Mytilus edulis: one gene and its partner. The main gene of each other region encodes a partner of the protein of the gene in region 2 in a complex. Links are inferred from orthologs where the notes say so. Each region holds a gene or a part of one and is shown on either strand. Other genes may lie near its edges.

Region 1 (7,963 bases), on a different chromosome or scaffold from region 2:
TGCAACGTTGCACATGAGATTGTTGCGAAATGTCAACAGTTCAAGAGCCTTAGAACATGTAGAATAAATGGTCATACATGTATATATCTTGAAGTTGAAAATTCCAAAAATGACGATAAGGAAAAATTGCAAAATAATGGAAGTCCCAAGCCATAGTAAAAGGATGCAAGAATAAACAAATTTCCTTTAAAACAAGATTTTTATTACATATATAGATAAGGAAACTATTGTAAGGGCTAATGTCAGTACCTTATCTAGGTTGGTGGGGTTTGTGTTGCTTAGTTTTTAGTTTTCTATGTTGTGTCTTCTGTACTATTATTTGTCTGTTTGTCTTTTTATTTTTAGCCATGGGGTTGTTAGATTATTTTTAATGAGTTTGACTGTCCCTCTGGTATCTTTCGTGCTAGATTTCATTGCCTTATCATTCATTGAATCAGTTATATTATTATGATGTCTTTTTTCATCATGATTGCATTTTTTATTGTTTTTGGTATTTTATAAAAGCAATATCTTTAAGTACATGTATATACAATAAGTGTCTTAAAATAGGGTTGAATTACACAAATGGTTTTGTCGTTGGCTTTGCTATAGAATTTTCATAAGCAATGAAGATGTAATTACTCACAATGTGGTCATTCATTATGTTCATGCATAAAGTTTATGTCCAGTGAAAACAGAACCTTTGTAAGTGATTGTGAGCTTGATGGTACTCAACATTTAAATTTAATATAGCTGCATATTAAATGTTTTATCTGAAATCAAGTGACTTATTACTATATGCTGATAGTAAACAGCAATATGTATTCCCTAACATACCATGATGACCTCTTTCTTTTTAACTTCTATATATAGATTTGATCAACAGAGTCAGTCTTCATTTCCAAGTCTGAAAATAAAGATAATTAATCATACATCATTTTGATAAAAAAAAAAAAGTTGATTGGAGTAAACACATTAACAATTCTGCGGAACCCAGTGTCTTGCCTACTTTATGAAGCTTATAAATGTTTTAGGAACTTTGACTGCAGATTGTATTTAATGTTAACTGGCAGAAAAACTAAGTCCATTCATAAGTAAAATAAGGATAAACAGGATTTTTTTTCTCTTAAATATAATTTCTGAATACTATCTATATGATCATAAACAAGCTTCTGTCCAAGTTTGGTAGAAATCCAGGACAGTTTAAGAAAGTTTTTGTGATCTTTTTTTACCCGTCCTTTTGTCAACAGCCAAACATTTCCGGTCATAAAAGTGACATGGTGAATAATTAAATTGTACTATCAAAACAAACCCTACCTTAATACCTTCTCATTATAACCAAGGTTAATTGGTTTAGTATCGGACAGCTGAACTTTACCTGTTCAGTTGACAGGTAAACTAAAGATTGTACCGGACATTGATTTGTTAATTCAAAGATATTTTTTGACATTTCAGCAGTTTGTATCTAATTACTTTATTCAAAAATATTAAATTTATTAGAAATACATTTACAAATGGTTTGTAAATATAATTTAATGAAAAATTAAAAAAGATCGACCGAACCACGTTGTTTGAACTAGTGCGCATGTGTGCAGTTGGGAAATTTAATTACGTGTCCCTGCTCTTCAAAAATGCTAAAATTAATCATTGGTTCATTTATCTAACGGTCATTTCAGGTATTTTCTTGAAGAAATAACGTGGAGAGCTACTTAAACCCAAGCTGTGTAAATGCACACAGATTTAACGTATCTGTATCTGGTTCATGTTTTACCATTGTCAACATCCGGTATCAGGAAATTGTGTTTTTTTTAAAATAAAGTGAAGTTTTTTGACAACGTTATTTTGCACAAATAAAGAGTCTAATTCAGATATAAGTACACTGATGTTGCACACTTCAAATTATGAACTGTCAATTTAACAGTTTACATCATTTCAAAGTAAAGTTTACATCATTTCAAAGTGAAGTACAAAAGTAAAGTCAAATGAAAGTACAAAAAATAATTGTTTTTTTATTGTCAATAATTGGTTACAAATGTATATGATGGTAACTGATAACCATTGTTGTCTTTCGTTTCTAAGTCTTATGAGATTAGAATGCGGATAAGACATAAAATGTCCAGCTGGCTCAACAGAAATGTAAGTACTTAATTATAACATGTATAACTCTTTACTATAAAGACATCTTCACCATAAAGACATCTTCACCACACATGGTATTATTTGTTATTGTTACTAAGTATAGCAGCCCAATATGAATCACATAGGGGGGGGGGGGGGGGGGGGGGGGCTATATACAGTATTTCCCCAGCATTGCCCAGGGCCTTTTAGCATCATGGTAATGTGGTGCTTAATAATAATCTTAAATGTGATGGCATCATGCTATCTGAAGTGGTTTTCTTTTAGATTATGTTATGGATGTGATGCTATAATTTTTAGAAACAAGATGGTATTTTAATTTCCCCTGTTTACCAGGACGAAATATCTGGGAAGAACACTGCGGGAAAGTAGCATTAGGTAGAAAACACAATACAAGACAATATCTGATTAAAGTTTATTAAACTTTAATATTAATATTTTTCAATAAAAGTTGGGAGAACAAAACATGAGTATACAGACTGTATGGGCGAAAGAACTCAAGGGGGAACAGCCACGATACCATATGAGAATTTACAAACGCTTAAACATAAAATTAACGTTCGTCAAAACAAGTGAACTTACAGCTCCAAAAATGTCTCTGAATACAGACAAAGCTGTGATGTTGGACAAGTTTTGAGGTCTAAAAGTCTATTTTTTGGAATGATTATTTTTTTTTAAAGCCAACTCTTTGCTTTGCTTGTTCAGTTGTTGTAGACGTCGATGCGATAATTTTTTCTGTTTTCGCTATTTTTCTTCAATGGAAAGAAGAAATAACCCATGGGAAATGTATTCGTATCTTGTGGCAATTTAAAGTGATGGTATCGAAATAGTTTACCTACATCTACGAGCTCTCAAAACTTCGCCAGAAAAAATGTAACGCATGCGCACATTTTCTATAAATATTGCGATGTCTTCTAAACGTTTAAATATAACGGTTTCTTGGCTCTTTCAATACACATCATTTAGACGCAGACTAGCACTTTTTTAATACAGTTTTGACCACCACAATCCAAATTTCCAACCAAATGTAACCCTTTTCTAGAAATTGGGAGAATATTCGTCACACTTAAATAAGAACATGACGCTGTACAGCTTAAACGGCTTATAAGATAATCGAAATAAGAAAAATTCGAGATATCCACAAAAATGCACTGGTTGTCATGTCAACTGTGACAACTAAAAAAAATCATTGACCTTAAATTTGTGTATTCAAGAGAAAAACACAATGTCAGCGGAAGATAGATTCTCTATGTCAGCAGAAAAATACCTTGGTGCGTTTATATAATTAGATTTTCAGTGTTTTTTACTTTATTGTTCACGAAAAAGTGGTCATAGAAGTTTAGACCTTATCGTCCTGGCATATGTTTTCATATCATCCATATTTTATCGGTTTCGATTGCAATCCCATATATTGTGACGGTTTTTTTCGGTTTCTATATTTAGAACAACAACACCACTACAACTTTACAAATTTAAACCATATTTAAAGTCGCTTTTTAAAGACTTTAATTAGAACAAATTTAAAGGCACTGGCTTATACGATTAATGGAAATGTAACAATAATAAAAATATTATTGTTACATCGGAGACTAAATGCCGGAATGCAAAGTTGGACAAGGAACCGATTAATTACGAATGTAACAATAATTATTGAGGCTACGGTTACATTGTGTTATTGTTACATGAAAAACAGCAATGTACGCTAGATTTATTAAATCTAATTAAATCTTCTATAGTTGTGTTGCTTAATTCTTTCATATGTACTAAATAATACTTGTAATAATGATAAATAATAAATATTATTATTCAACAAATGGTGTTTACCAGTAAATAGTTTTATGTATTAATGGTTTTGATGTTCTTAAGGGTAGACAGCACAAGAAATTTTTATTATTATTATTTTGCTTTAATATATGCTTTTGCATACTGATAAAGTGAATAAATTGAAGTATATAACTTTAAACTGTTAAGACAATATATATAGGTTTACGCTTATTGACCTTTTACTATCTACGTTATTACTAGGTTGATGCGTTGTGTGTATTATTCTCCGACAATACTTGTGAAGGTAAAATGTTATTTGCAGATTGGTAATTAACTCCGTGCCAGGTGCGACTGTCTATTCGGATCAGTGGATTATAAGACAGGAGGTCGCGTTTAATACACAAATTTAAAATACATTTTTAAGGTGTTGACAAATACAAGTGAATCGCCGTGGAATTATTTAATTATATTTGATGCTATTATTTTATTTGAATTCAAATAAGTAACTAAACTAAAAAATGAACCGGTTAAAGTATGGAAATTAAATTTAGTTTTCGGAATAAAATGAGATACACTCTTATGATTTATTTATGTTTTTTAAAAAGGGAAAATAGAACTAGTTTTACAAAAGCATTTTAATTGTCTTATAAAGGCAAAACATGTACGGGAACACTTAAATTTAGACATTTGAAAGCCATGATCAAAGAAAGGTGTATCTGTATTACATTTTTACCTCTAGTGTTTGTCATTAGATTTAAGCTGAGACTACTATAACACAGTCTCAGATTTAAGTGGGGTTAATCTTATGAAAAATAATTATCTGATATCATTTGGATTATGGAAGGAGCTATACTATAAAAATACATAAATTTATTACCAATACACTCGAGATCAAAGGTTAATTTTGCTGTTCAAGTTAACTTTTACTCACATATTTTTATATTTTGATTTGAGCGTGCTTGTTTTTATATGACAGTTTTTTCAATTCTCTTATCTCATTAGACGAAAGCAAACCTGCATTTGTATAGTCCGAAGTTTACAAATTGATATTCTTATTTCACATTTAAAATGAATGAACAGTTATTAAAATAAAACGGCATTCATTTCAAAATATACAACTGTTTTCTAGAGTGAAAATGAAGTCACATATGTGAGGATAAAAACTAGACGAATTACTTATATGAAATAACGGGACTAAAAATTATATATAAAAACGGAAGAATAGGTGCTGAAATATAAATAAAAGTAAAATTGAAATTAGATAACAGTGGGATAATCTATACGTATTCTTACAATCACTCTTAAAAAAATTGTTAGATTTTGTACACAGGCCATATATATCACGGACAGTTTTATATTGGTATGGTATATTTTATAAATTTTACCTGTGCACACCTGGTTCACTCGCGATCACGCATGTGATTCATTGACCTTGTTCATTGTGTATTAAATTAAACAAGCCTGCCAGGAAGTCGACCGTTAGAATACATATGTCACATTTACAATACCCCAGTAATTACCTGTATTAAGCCATGCTGATTACAAGAAGACAAGTTTTTGAACGTGGGTCAAGTTAGGTAAAAACCCAAAATAAGCTAAAAATATATGTTAGAAAAAAAAGCATTTAAAAAATCTTTTACATAGGAGATAAATCTCAGTTTATAATAAGTATCTCCGGAATTTTTTTCACTTTATTGAGACTGCTTTAACATTATTATAGCATAATTCATACAATACTTGATACTGTATCTGGGTGCCAAAAATGTAAATTTATTGACCAGCTAAAACCATTGTACGATATTATGTCATTTACAGCTTTTTAAACTGACCTCAGCATTGTACGTTGAATATTTAACCCTCTTAGAAAAAAAAGATGTTTTTTAAAGTATTTTTTAAATTATTCTTATCAATCTTAGTGTCAAGCATTACTTGATTTGATGATCTTGAAAACTATGTAGACTTCTTCAGCTTCCATTACTTGGTCGGGTAGAAAATCCATCAGCTTGACAAGTCATATTAACACTGATTAACGGACATGTCATGCCGTGTACTAGGACTTTGTGGTAATTAGATATCCGTGGTCATTAGTTTTCAAGATGGCGTCTTGCCGAGAATTTAGAGTCAATTTCAAAAATCTAATAACTCACTTATCTAGACAAATAAAGCTTTAATATTCAGAGAATATGCTTATTTATTTAACATAATATCAAATTTTTATTTTTTTGCGAATTTTCCCTTTAAGGGAGCTACCATTTGATTTTTATGGGGGGGCTAGGAAGAAAAATTTTGTCCTGCATTTTTTTTTAGTTGTAATCTCTGTCCTGCCTTTTTATTTTTCACTCTATTCGGTCCTGCCTTTTTTTTTATTAGTTTATCCTGACTTTTTTTACCTAAATTGTCATCCTGCCTTTTTTTTTTTGCAAAGTGTCTCATCCTGCCTTTTTTTTTACTCAAAACTCCTGTCCTGCCTATTTTTTTCAAATTTCATCCTAGCCCCCCCATAAAAGTCAAATGGTAGCTCCCTAAACTCTCTTTGTACAATAGATAATAAACTTGCAAAATGCATTAGTTGTGCATCATTGTCCAGAAAATACAGACACAAATTGTGAAATACAAAGAACTGAAATCAAACAAGAGGAAAACATAAAATGTGAATATTTTTGATCATTTTATTTTGTGTACTGCCTCATTTTACGATATTTGTCATGTTTATGCATAGTTTAATGTTGATTGAAGACTAATTAAATGAAATTAATGACAATCTTCAGTTTTCAACAGGTGTTCACTATTTACAATGATTGTATATTCTGGCACATATGTAATTGTATAGTCTGACGTTTGTACAAAGTTGAAGGTGTTAATTGGATGTTATTGTAGCAATAAAACAAGGGACACACGCCTTGTTAATCTCATTTTATTTTTCTCATTGTGTGTACCCTAGGGTGAAGCCACATTTAATGTTGTTCCTATCAAGAACAATGAATTATACTGCTAGAAAGGAAATATTATTTCATGTTTTTGTACATACATTATCTTAAACATATTCTTTATATTTAATAAAACTACACAATCCATTTCTTTCTTACAAATGTTTAATTTCTTCATCTATCAATATAATAATATAAACTACACAATCCCTTTCTTCCTCACAAATGTTTAATATCTTCATCTATCAATATATATTTCTGCCCATATACTTAAATTGGAATATTTATTTGGAATAAGTAATCTTAATAAAAAAAATATGTTTTCTTGTCGCTTCTTGTTGCTAAAATTCTTCTTCTTGACGCTTCTTGTCGCTAATTAGTGTTGAGACCCTTTTTATTTAATGTCAAAAATGTGCATCACTATAAGAGTTGTTGAAACAAATTCTGAAGGGTTAAAATAAAGTCCAGATATGTTTTTAGCCTGTCAGACACCGGATCTTCAATTAGACATGTGACTGTCATGTTTTTTTTTTGGCCATTTTAATTACAAACCAGCGAGTTAAAATTAACAGGGTTCTTATATAAAATGGTTGTTCAAACTCCATTCATTCAATATTCTATTAACTGTTCTTTTTATATATACATTAAAAGATAAAAACAGTCTAAGAATTTCAAAATTACAAGCATCTTACGTCTTTACATGATTTTCAACAACACTTGTTTTCCTGCATTTTTTATAGTGTTTCTACTTTTTATAAATATATTTCCTGGTTATTTTTGTTTAGTATTGTGGATTATAGGGCCTCTTATATCTAACTATGCAGTATGGGTTAATTTGCTCATTGTTGATGGCCATACTGTAACCTATAGTTGCATGTTATTAAATCTATTACATGTATACATCATTTGGTCTCTAGTTGAGAGAACTGTATCATTGACAATCATACCATATCTTCTTATTTTGTAATGCATTAATTTACAACTGTTATTATTAAAAGAATATTGAGATGGTGAATTGTTAGGAGAATTCTCACTCTAAGTTATAGATTTGTCAAAGTTTTTATGTAATTGCATGAAAAATAAATAAATAATTGTTATTTTTCAGCAAAACACAATATACTAATATACTTTGAGGATAGTATTGCCCAGCTGTTAGA
Region 2 (7,495 bases):
ATTGTAGATATATAACGCAGTCATTAATAAAAATTTCTAGTTTATTAAGCCATTACCGCAAAGCAAACATATACACATTATAAAGTGCTTTTGGGAAACCTTTCTGTTTTCTATCTAATATTATTTTGAGACCTGCTTTTTCTATGAGAGATCTGAGATTGTCTAAACTTCTAGTATAACTACTGTCTTCTGAGTCAAACTCTCGCTCATCAGTGGTTACATTTTCTTTAACAAAAATCAAACCATTTTCTGAAAGTCCTTTTTGACATCTTTGAAAGAACTTTATTAAATCGTCATCTTTCAAATGTCCTAAAACCCATTGACACCAAATCACATTATAATGTCCTTCTGCTGGGCAAAAGTCTTGTAATCCAGAACAAAATCGATTCTTGACTTTTGAAAATTCTTCTCCAATGAAAGCTGGTGCCTGGTCTAAAAAATTCTGGCTGAGCTCCACCATGTCAACTTCTTTGAAGATTGGTAATAAAAGTCTTTTTGTAATTCTGCCTATTCCTGCCCCACAGTCTAAGGCCCTGGTTGTTTCTGTTTCTCCTCCACCCATCTACAAAATAGTTAAAATTCATTTGATTTCTGGCCTAAAACTATTGATCCTTTTTAACATATCTTAACAAATCAAGATCCAATAAAGTACATTCAACATATTTACACAACTTCTAATTTTGGGAGATTTTAGAGCAAAAAATCTAAGTTTTCAAAATACTTATTTCTGTTTGTTAGGCTTCAAATAGTTACCTTATACATGTTATGTTATGTATATATTTTGTGTATCAAAAAGGTAGTGATCAGCCTTAAAACATTTAGATATCAAGTCAGTCACATAAGGTTTTGCTTGCATTTCATGCAATCTTTACCTTTAAACAGTCCATTAAAAAATGTTTTTAAAAATGGCTTTAATTATTAATGAAGCTATATTGGTTTTACCGTTTCAATGGTTTACACTAGTCATTTTTAGGGCCTTTATAGGTTACCATGGTTACTGTTCAGTGTGAGCCAAAAACAAAAAAAAAGACTATAACATAAGGCCAAATAAAAAAGTATGTGTGGTTCCAGTTACATCTGAAAAAAAGTTAGGGTAGGTACATGTAGGTAGGGATTTTTTTTTATTTTATGTTTTTTTTTTTACATTGAGTCTATGGGAGCAACATTCCGACTTTAACACTGCTTAATGAAAAATGACAATAAAATCTTTAGGGTAGGCTATTTTTAAGCCGAAAAAGTAGGGACGGTAGGATAACTGGAACCACATGTACACATATATTTTTATTTGGCCTAACGAAAGAAAAATCTGTCTCAAACAATTGACTTCAGTACAACAATCACTTTTCCATAGTGGAGTTAGACATGTCAGATGTTTTCTATTATGATGTCAAAAGTTTAACAGGACAGACAATTCATGAGGAGGGGTAGGAGGGGTCCTGATCAGGATGATCCTGAAATCCCAGGCATAGAACACAAAATCCTGAGGTTCAGAATTAAAATAAATTATTAAATCCTGATATCCCGAAATTTGAAAAAAAGAATTTCTGGATCCTGAAAGGGTCAATCCCGAAATCCTGAGCTTAAAAACACCTGATCCTGGAGTCCCGATAAAGGTCCTATCCCCCCTCTATCATTCAAAATGCAAATAAATATTAAATTCTGAATTGATTGACAAGGGTCAAATGACTTTGAATAGGAGTCCATTTGTACTTCTCGGACTGCTAACTTTAAACAAATATGAACATGATGAAGGTGTTATACATGTACTATAGACGGAGTGTTGGTAGGAGGGGTCCTGATCCTGAAATCCCGGGTTTTAAAACATGAAATCCCCAGATCCCGAATTTAAATCCACATATCCCGAAATTCAAAATACACGAAATAAGAATTCCTGGACACCGAAAGGGTGAATCCTGACATCCTGAGCTTAAAAACACCAAATCTTGGAGTCCTGATAAAGGTCCTATCCCCCCTCTATCATGATTGACTATTAAGTTACATGTATATATGTAGGACTCTAAAGTGCGATGGTCACGCTAAAGTGCGATGGTCTACGCTAAAGTACGATGGTGTCTCACGCTAAAGTGCGTTGGTTGTTAGTTCGCTAAAGTATGATGGTGTATCACGCTAAAGTGTGATGGTCCAAAGGGTAAGATTCAAGGGGTTAAAACATCGAGGTTAAAAAAGTTTTGCAAAAGCTAGTATGCTAAGGTATAACATATGTGATAGGCTTCATAATTTTCCGGTAGGCTTAAGTGATTGTTTCTAAATAAACAAGTTCAACCAAGTAATAAATGCTATAAAGGTACTAATTTATGTGTCGCAAAATATTAAATTTCATGTAAAATGAATTTTTAACAATTTGGAGCGTATTCATGGTATTGAATATTTGGATAATTGGTATATATTGTCGTTCACACCAATGTTACAACCTTCCTTAGAGTCGTCATTGAAAAATTATAAATACAAAATTCGTTCATTGTCGGACAGTCAGGGGACTTACTTAAACAAGTGATTTTCTAAATCACTGATTCAAGTAACATTATTTCCATAAAGGTTGGAAGTTAGAGTTGTCTTTCTTTAACAATCACCTATTTAAGTAGTACAAATTAATCACTAGAAGAAGTGATTTAATTTTATTGTAGCCTTAAATATAAAATACTAATGATCCAGGGACTAATTATGTTTCTAAACTTATCAGAACCAACATCTGTGTTGTCTAGGATAACCAGGTCATTTCAGGTGATGACCTTGTACTGAATCTAGGATAATGACATAAAAATCACTTGTTTAAGTATCAGACCTCAATTTCCTTCCCAAAAATCACTTCTTTAAGTATCATTCTTTTAATAACCCCTACTAATTTCAACACCCCTGAACAGTGAAATTTTTATCGCGAACAGTAAAATTTTATTGCATAATCTGAAAGATGAAACCTTGAACTTCACAGGAAAAATACTCCCACTGCTGTGAAAAATCTTTTAAGAAAGTATCAGTTCATTAAATAAAGCCATTATTATAGCATTTTTTCAACTAAAATGGAATTTTCAGCTAAATGATAGCATCAAAGGCATAAACCTTGCTACTTAAAAGAAGCCAAAAGTTCATATTTTTTAATTTTACTAATTAAAAGATATTATTTAAACCTATATGTGTTTAAAATTTTGAAAAAACTAAAAAATCCCATTTTGTGACAAAACCTCGAATTTGCTACTCAAATAAGTGATTTAAAAATCACTTATTTCAGTAAGTCCCCTGACTGTCGGAATATGCAACAATAATTTTTCTATTTATAAGCTTTTAATCATGTCAAATGCGAGAAAAAGGCAATGTTCGCCTAGCTTTCTCCTTTTTCTTAGCGAGTACAAATACATGTTTTATTTTCCTACAATGTACAGTACAAACAAATGTTTAAGCAGAAAATTTATAATTCACACATAAAAACATGTATGTCTATTTTACCGTCGGACGTATCTTACATTAAAATCAACAGCATTTTAACGAGGATCAAAAGTAAACTGCCACATAAACAATGCTTCAAATGTATCCATTTGCTTCTAATAGAAGCAGGATAAGTATGCCTAGACTGTTTTGTATGTATTTAGTAAATTTGTTCACACAGAGTACAAGTCCTTCCAGCACTCGAAAAAAACATAAACATTGCGCTACAGCCGACAAAGAACGGTTAAGTTTAAATAAATTACTAGTATTAAAGTCATGGACATTTATTGTAAAAATTGTTAATAAAATATTCTGAATCTATCTTCCGACGTGTTCATTTTTGGTTTGTATAAACGACTGATAACGTCATAATCAAACTACGTTTCTTACGTCTATACTTTCGCGGACCATCGCACTTTAGCGAATACCATCGCACTTTAACGTGACCATCGCACTTTAACGTGACCATCGCACTTTAGCGTCCCCATCGCACTTTAGAGTCCTACATGTATATGTAACATGTATAATGGAAATACATGTAATTTGTAAAGTTTTATAAAAATTATACATGTATATGTACTATATTTATTATTTACCGTTATAAATGGTCTTATAAACTCTCTTGAACCGTTAATATCTGTAGGTGAAATTTTTGCAAATCCACCCAACATTCCATCAACTGTTGGAGGAATTGATTCCCAATGTTTCTTTGCATCACCGTAAAATTTCTCTGTTCCCTGATCCATGTTGTTCTGGAGACTGGTTTCCTGTGTATTGAATAGATATTTTGCTTTCTTTTAAAAATTGTGGAAACCAGTATAACATTTTAATCTCTATACTGATTATTCTCAAAATACCTATTAATAACTTGAAGTGTATTTATTTTTAACAAAATAGTTTTATAATAATGAAATTTATTCTATTTACTCGTAATTTTAGGTAATTCATATTATTATGTTTGGTTGAAGACTATATTAAACTGGTTTTCGAACTTGTTATACTATTTTCTGATTTCAAGAGATTAAGGAACCAGATTCATAAATATTTTGCCATGGATGTCCGAATAGAATAAAATTTCAGTAGTTTTGTGTTTAAAATCAAATGAGAATAGTCCAAAATGCAAGTCGAAGAGGCCAGATACTTAAAAAGGTTAGAGATTTTTAGACGATTTTTGTTATTTGATCTACATGTACACATACTTAAATATTGTCATATTTATTTAATATTATTTAATTTTTATGGATATTTTTTTTTGTCTAACGGTTAAGCATCGTTCATTCAGTACTCAGTACTGCCAGAAGTATGTCAAGATGACATTACTATTTGTGCTACATATATAGGTGCCAAAGAAAGATATCAAAATGTCCTGTCAAGAGGGTAAGAATGCCCTTTCCTGTCAGTGTCATGCTTCAAACAGTCATTTTCAGCTATGGTAAGCGTCATAATTGTGATTCGTCCGAGGTCTCAAATAATTATTGTAACTGTTATTTTAAGAAAAAGTAAATGTGTTTTCGTCAAAACCAGTCACTTTTTTATCATATAAAACATGTGTAAAAGGAATGCATTTTATCTAAATACTTACAATGTATGTTGAACAAATCTATCCCATCAAAGACAAACAAGAGATACATGATACTACAGATACAGTTAATTCTGCCTCATATCTTAACTTACATCTAGAAATTGACAATGAGGGTCGGTTGAAAACAAACTTTATGACAAAAGAGATGATTTCAGCTTCCTAATTGTGAACTTTCCATTTCTATGCAGCAAATTTCTGATGATTCAAGCAGCACCTGCATACAGAGAATATATATCCCAATTGATAGGTTATTCCCTGGCTTGTATTTCCTATCATGATTTTCTTGATAGAGGATTACTGCTCACAAATGAAGCTATAGCTATTAAACCAAGAGGACTTACTGAAATAAGTGATTTTTAAATCACTTATTAGAGTAGCAAATTCGAGGTTTTGTCACAAATTGGGATTTTGTAGTTTTTGTTTAAATTTTAAACGCATAGGATTTCTTTTGCTAAGGTCGTCAAATCACTGCCTGGATTCAAACTTTTTACTCTGATTCTAAAATCAAAAATATCTTAATTAGACTCTGTTTCATGCATGTTTTTCATGTTTTTGTTTATAAATAAGGCAGTTATTTTTCTCGTATGAATTGTTTTTCATTGTCATTGTGACCTATGGTTGGTAATTTCTGTGTCATTTTGGTCTCTTGTGGAGAGTTGTCTCATTGACAATCGTACCACATCTTCTTTTTTTATAGTTAGAGACAATATATTTAATTTTTATTGGCTTTACATAATGAACTGATACTTTCTTCAAAGATTTTTCACAGCAGTGGCAGTATTTTTCCTGTGAAGTTTAAGGTTTCATCTTTCAGATTATGTAATAAAATTCTACTGTTCGCGATAACAATTTCTCTGTTCAGGGGTGTTGAAATTAGTGGGGGTTATTAAAAGAATGATACTTAAAGAAGTGATTTTTGGGAAGGAAATTGAGGTCTGATACTTAAACAAGTGATTTTTATGTCATTATCCAAGATTCAGTACAAGGTCATCACCTGAAATGACCTGGTCATCCTAGACAACACAGATGTTGGTTCTGATAAGTTTAGAAACATAATTAGTACCTGGATCATTAGTATTCTATATTTAAAGCTACACTAATATTAAATCACTTCTTCCAGTGATTAATTTGTACTACTTAAATAGGTGATTATTAAAGAAAGACAACTCTAACTTCCAACCTTTAAATGGAAATAATGTTACTTGAATCAGTGATTTAGAAAATCACTTGTTTAAGTAAGTCACCTGACTGGTGAAGTTGAAATCATCAATTTATAAATTTTACGGATGCCATCACGAGTTGGTTGACCGTTATGAAATAACCATTTCATAGATGATATCAGATATGTTCCTTATGTCGTAACTACAATACCCTTCCCTTTTCACGACTGTGACCTACCAAATTAGACTATTTACATGATTTATAACTATTTATCATGTCTACATTTAAAACATCTCTATTCTGTAAACATGGTAGAAACATATAAATGTAACTACGTTTATTACTATTTTACATTGGGGGATGATCTCTGGTCCTGCTGGTGCTCTGGAAGGGTAATCAGATTCAGCTCCACAAGAACCACCTGTCATGTTGGTCAGGGAATTACTCAATACAAAGTTGTGATTGAAGACGTAGATTTTGAGAAAATGCATAAATGATGCTTTCAAACAGTCAAGTGTAATATATTTCATGTATATTAGAATCTAAGAAATTTAATAAATTTGAGAATGGAAATTTTAACATTTTTTGTTATTTCAGAAAAGTAAAATTCAGTAGTATTGATGTTCATCCCACAGAAAAAGCTTTGGTAGTTAATTATGAACTGGAGGCAACAATACTTGGAGAATTGGGAGATCCAATGTTAGGGGAGAGGAAGGAATGTCAGAAAATGTACGTTTATACTTTCTTGTGTACTTTCTAAATGCTGTATGGTCACTGCAATGAGAAAAACAAATAAATTTAGTTATAATCTTAAAAATCCTTCTCTTCATTGTCTGATTGTAACTTACTTTAATTCAGATTTCAGATTCTTAATTAGATTTATAAGTAATATTACATTAGTCATGTTAGTGTTGTCCATTAAAAATCATATAACATGTATACTATATATACATGATATACAAAACAATATTTCAAAGTTTCACATGCAATGACATGTATAATAATATAATTGTAACCATAATTTTAAGAATTGTTTAAATAAGTTAGTCATGTACATGTTAGTAGTACGGTTAGGAGAATTTTTGAATCATATAAAAATTTGTTAAACTCAACCATCATATATAAGTACCATCTGTTTTAAAGACCCATATCATTAATGGGTATGTATATGTTACAGGGAATTTGTGAAATCAGTGATTTTTACAAAATCACTGAAATTTCAGGGAATTTGTAAAATCACTGAACTGATTAGTGATTTTATAAAATCCCTGATTTTGACTAGTGATTTTACAAAATCCCTGAAATAATTAA

The links. The genes of interacting proteins can lie anywhere in the genome.
Region 1: the proteins of kinesin-associated protein 3-like (region 2) and kinesin-like protein KIF3B are in contact, whole or in part, in a crystal structure (PDB 9IKB), measured with the Caenorhabditis elegans proteins. The link is inferred for Mytilus edulis from reciprocal best matches to the Caenorhabditis elegans genes kap-1 and klp-11. Residues at the interface, in NP_001367739.1 of Caenorhabditis elegans: Pro155, Gln156, Thr159, Ser197, Lys198, Phe199, Ser200, Cys201, His203, Thr263, Asn264, Thr267, Ile269, Lys304, Leu307, Lys308, Ile311, Phe312, Met345, Phe348, Asn349, Phe352, Lys378, Asn381, Tyr384, Leu385, Cys388, Asp390, Lys393, Glu416; in NP_001369897.1 of Caenorhabditis elegans: Phe567, Pro569, Lys644, Arg645, Leu646, Val647, Ala648, Thr649, Pro650, Cys652, Arg653, Arg654, Pro655, Met656, Ser657, Met658, Cys659, Glu660, Ile679, Val686, Glu687, Ala688, Thr689, Ile690, Ile695, Arg696, Phe697, Cys698, Gly699, Glu700.

Annotation. Positions count from the first base shown.
Region 1 is NC_092350.1:78,705,323-78,713,285, reverse strand, and holds the start of kinesin-like protein KIF3B, read right to left. Parts: upstream 3,023-7,963; 5' UTR 2,955-3,022; exon of another isoform or gene 2,951-2,954; intron 887-2,950; 5' UTR 820-886; coding exon 817-819; intron 1-816. Other genes in the region: centriolar satellite-associated tubulin polyglutamylase complex regulator 1-like, read left to right, coding at 3,341-3,386, 7,912-7,963.
Region 2 is NC_092345.1:944,575-952,069, forward strand, and holds the start of kinesin-associated protein 3-like, read left to right. Parts: upstream 1-4,444; 5' UTR 4,445-4,558; coding exon 4,559-4,590; intron 4,591-6,781; coding exon 6,782-6,913; intron 6,914-7,495. Other genes in the region: N-terminal Xaa-Pro-Lys N-methyltransferase 1-A-like, read right to left, coding at 53-562, 4,038-4,187.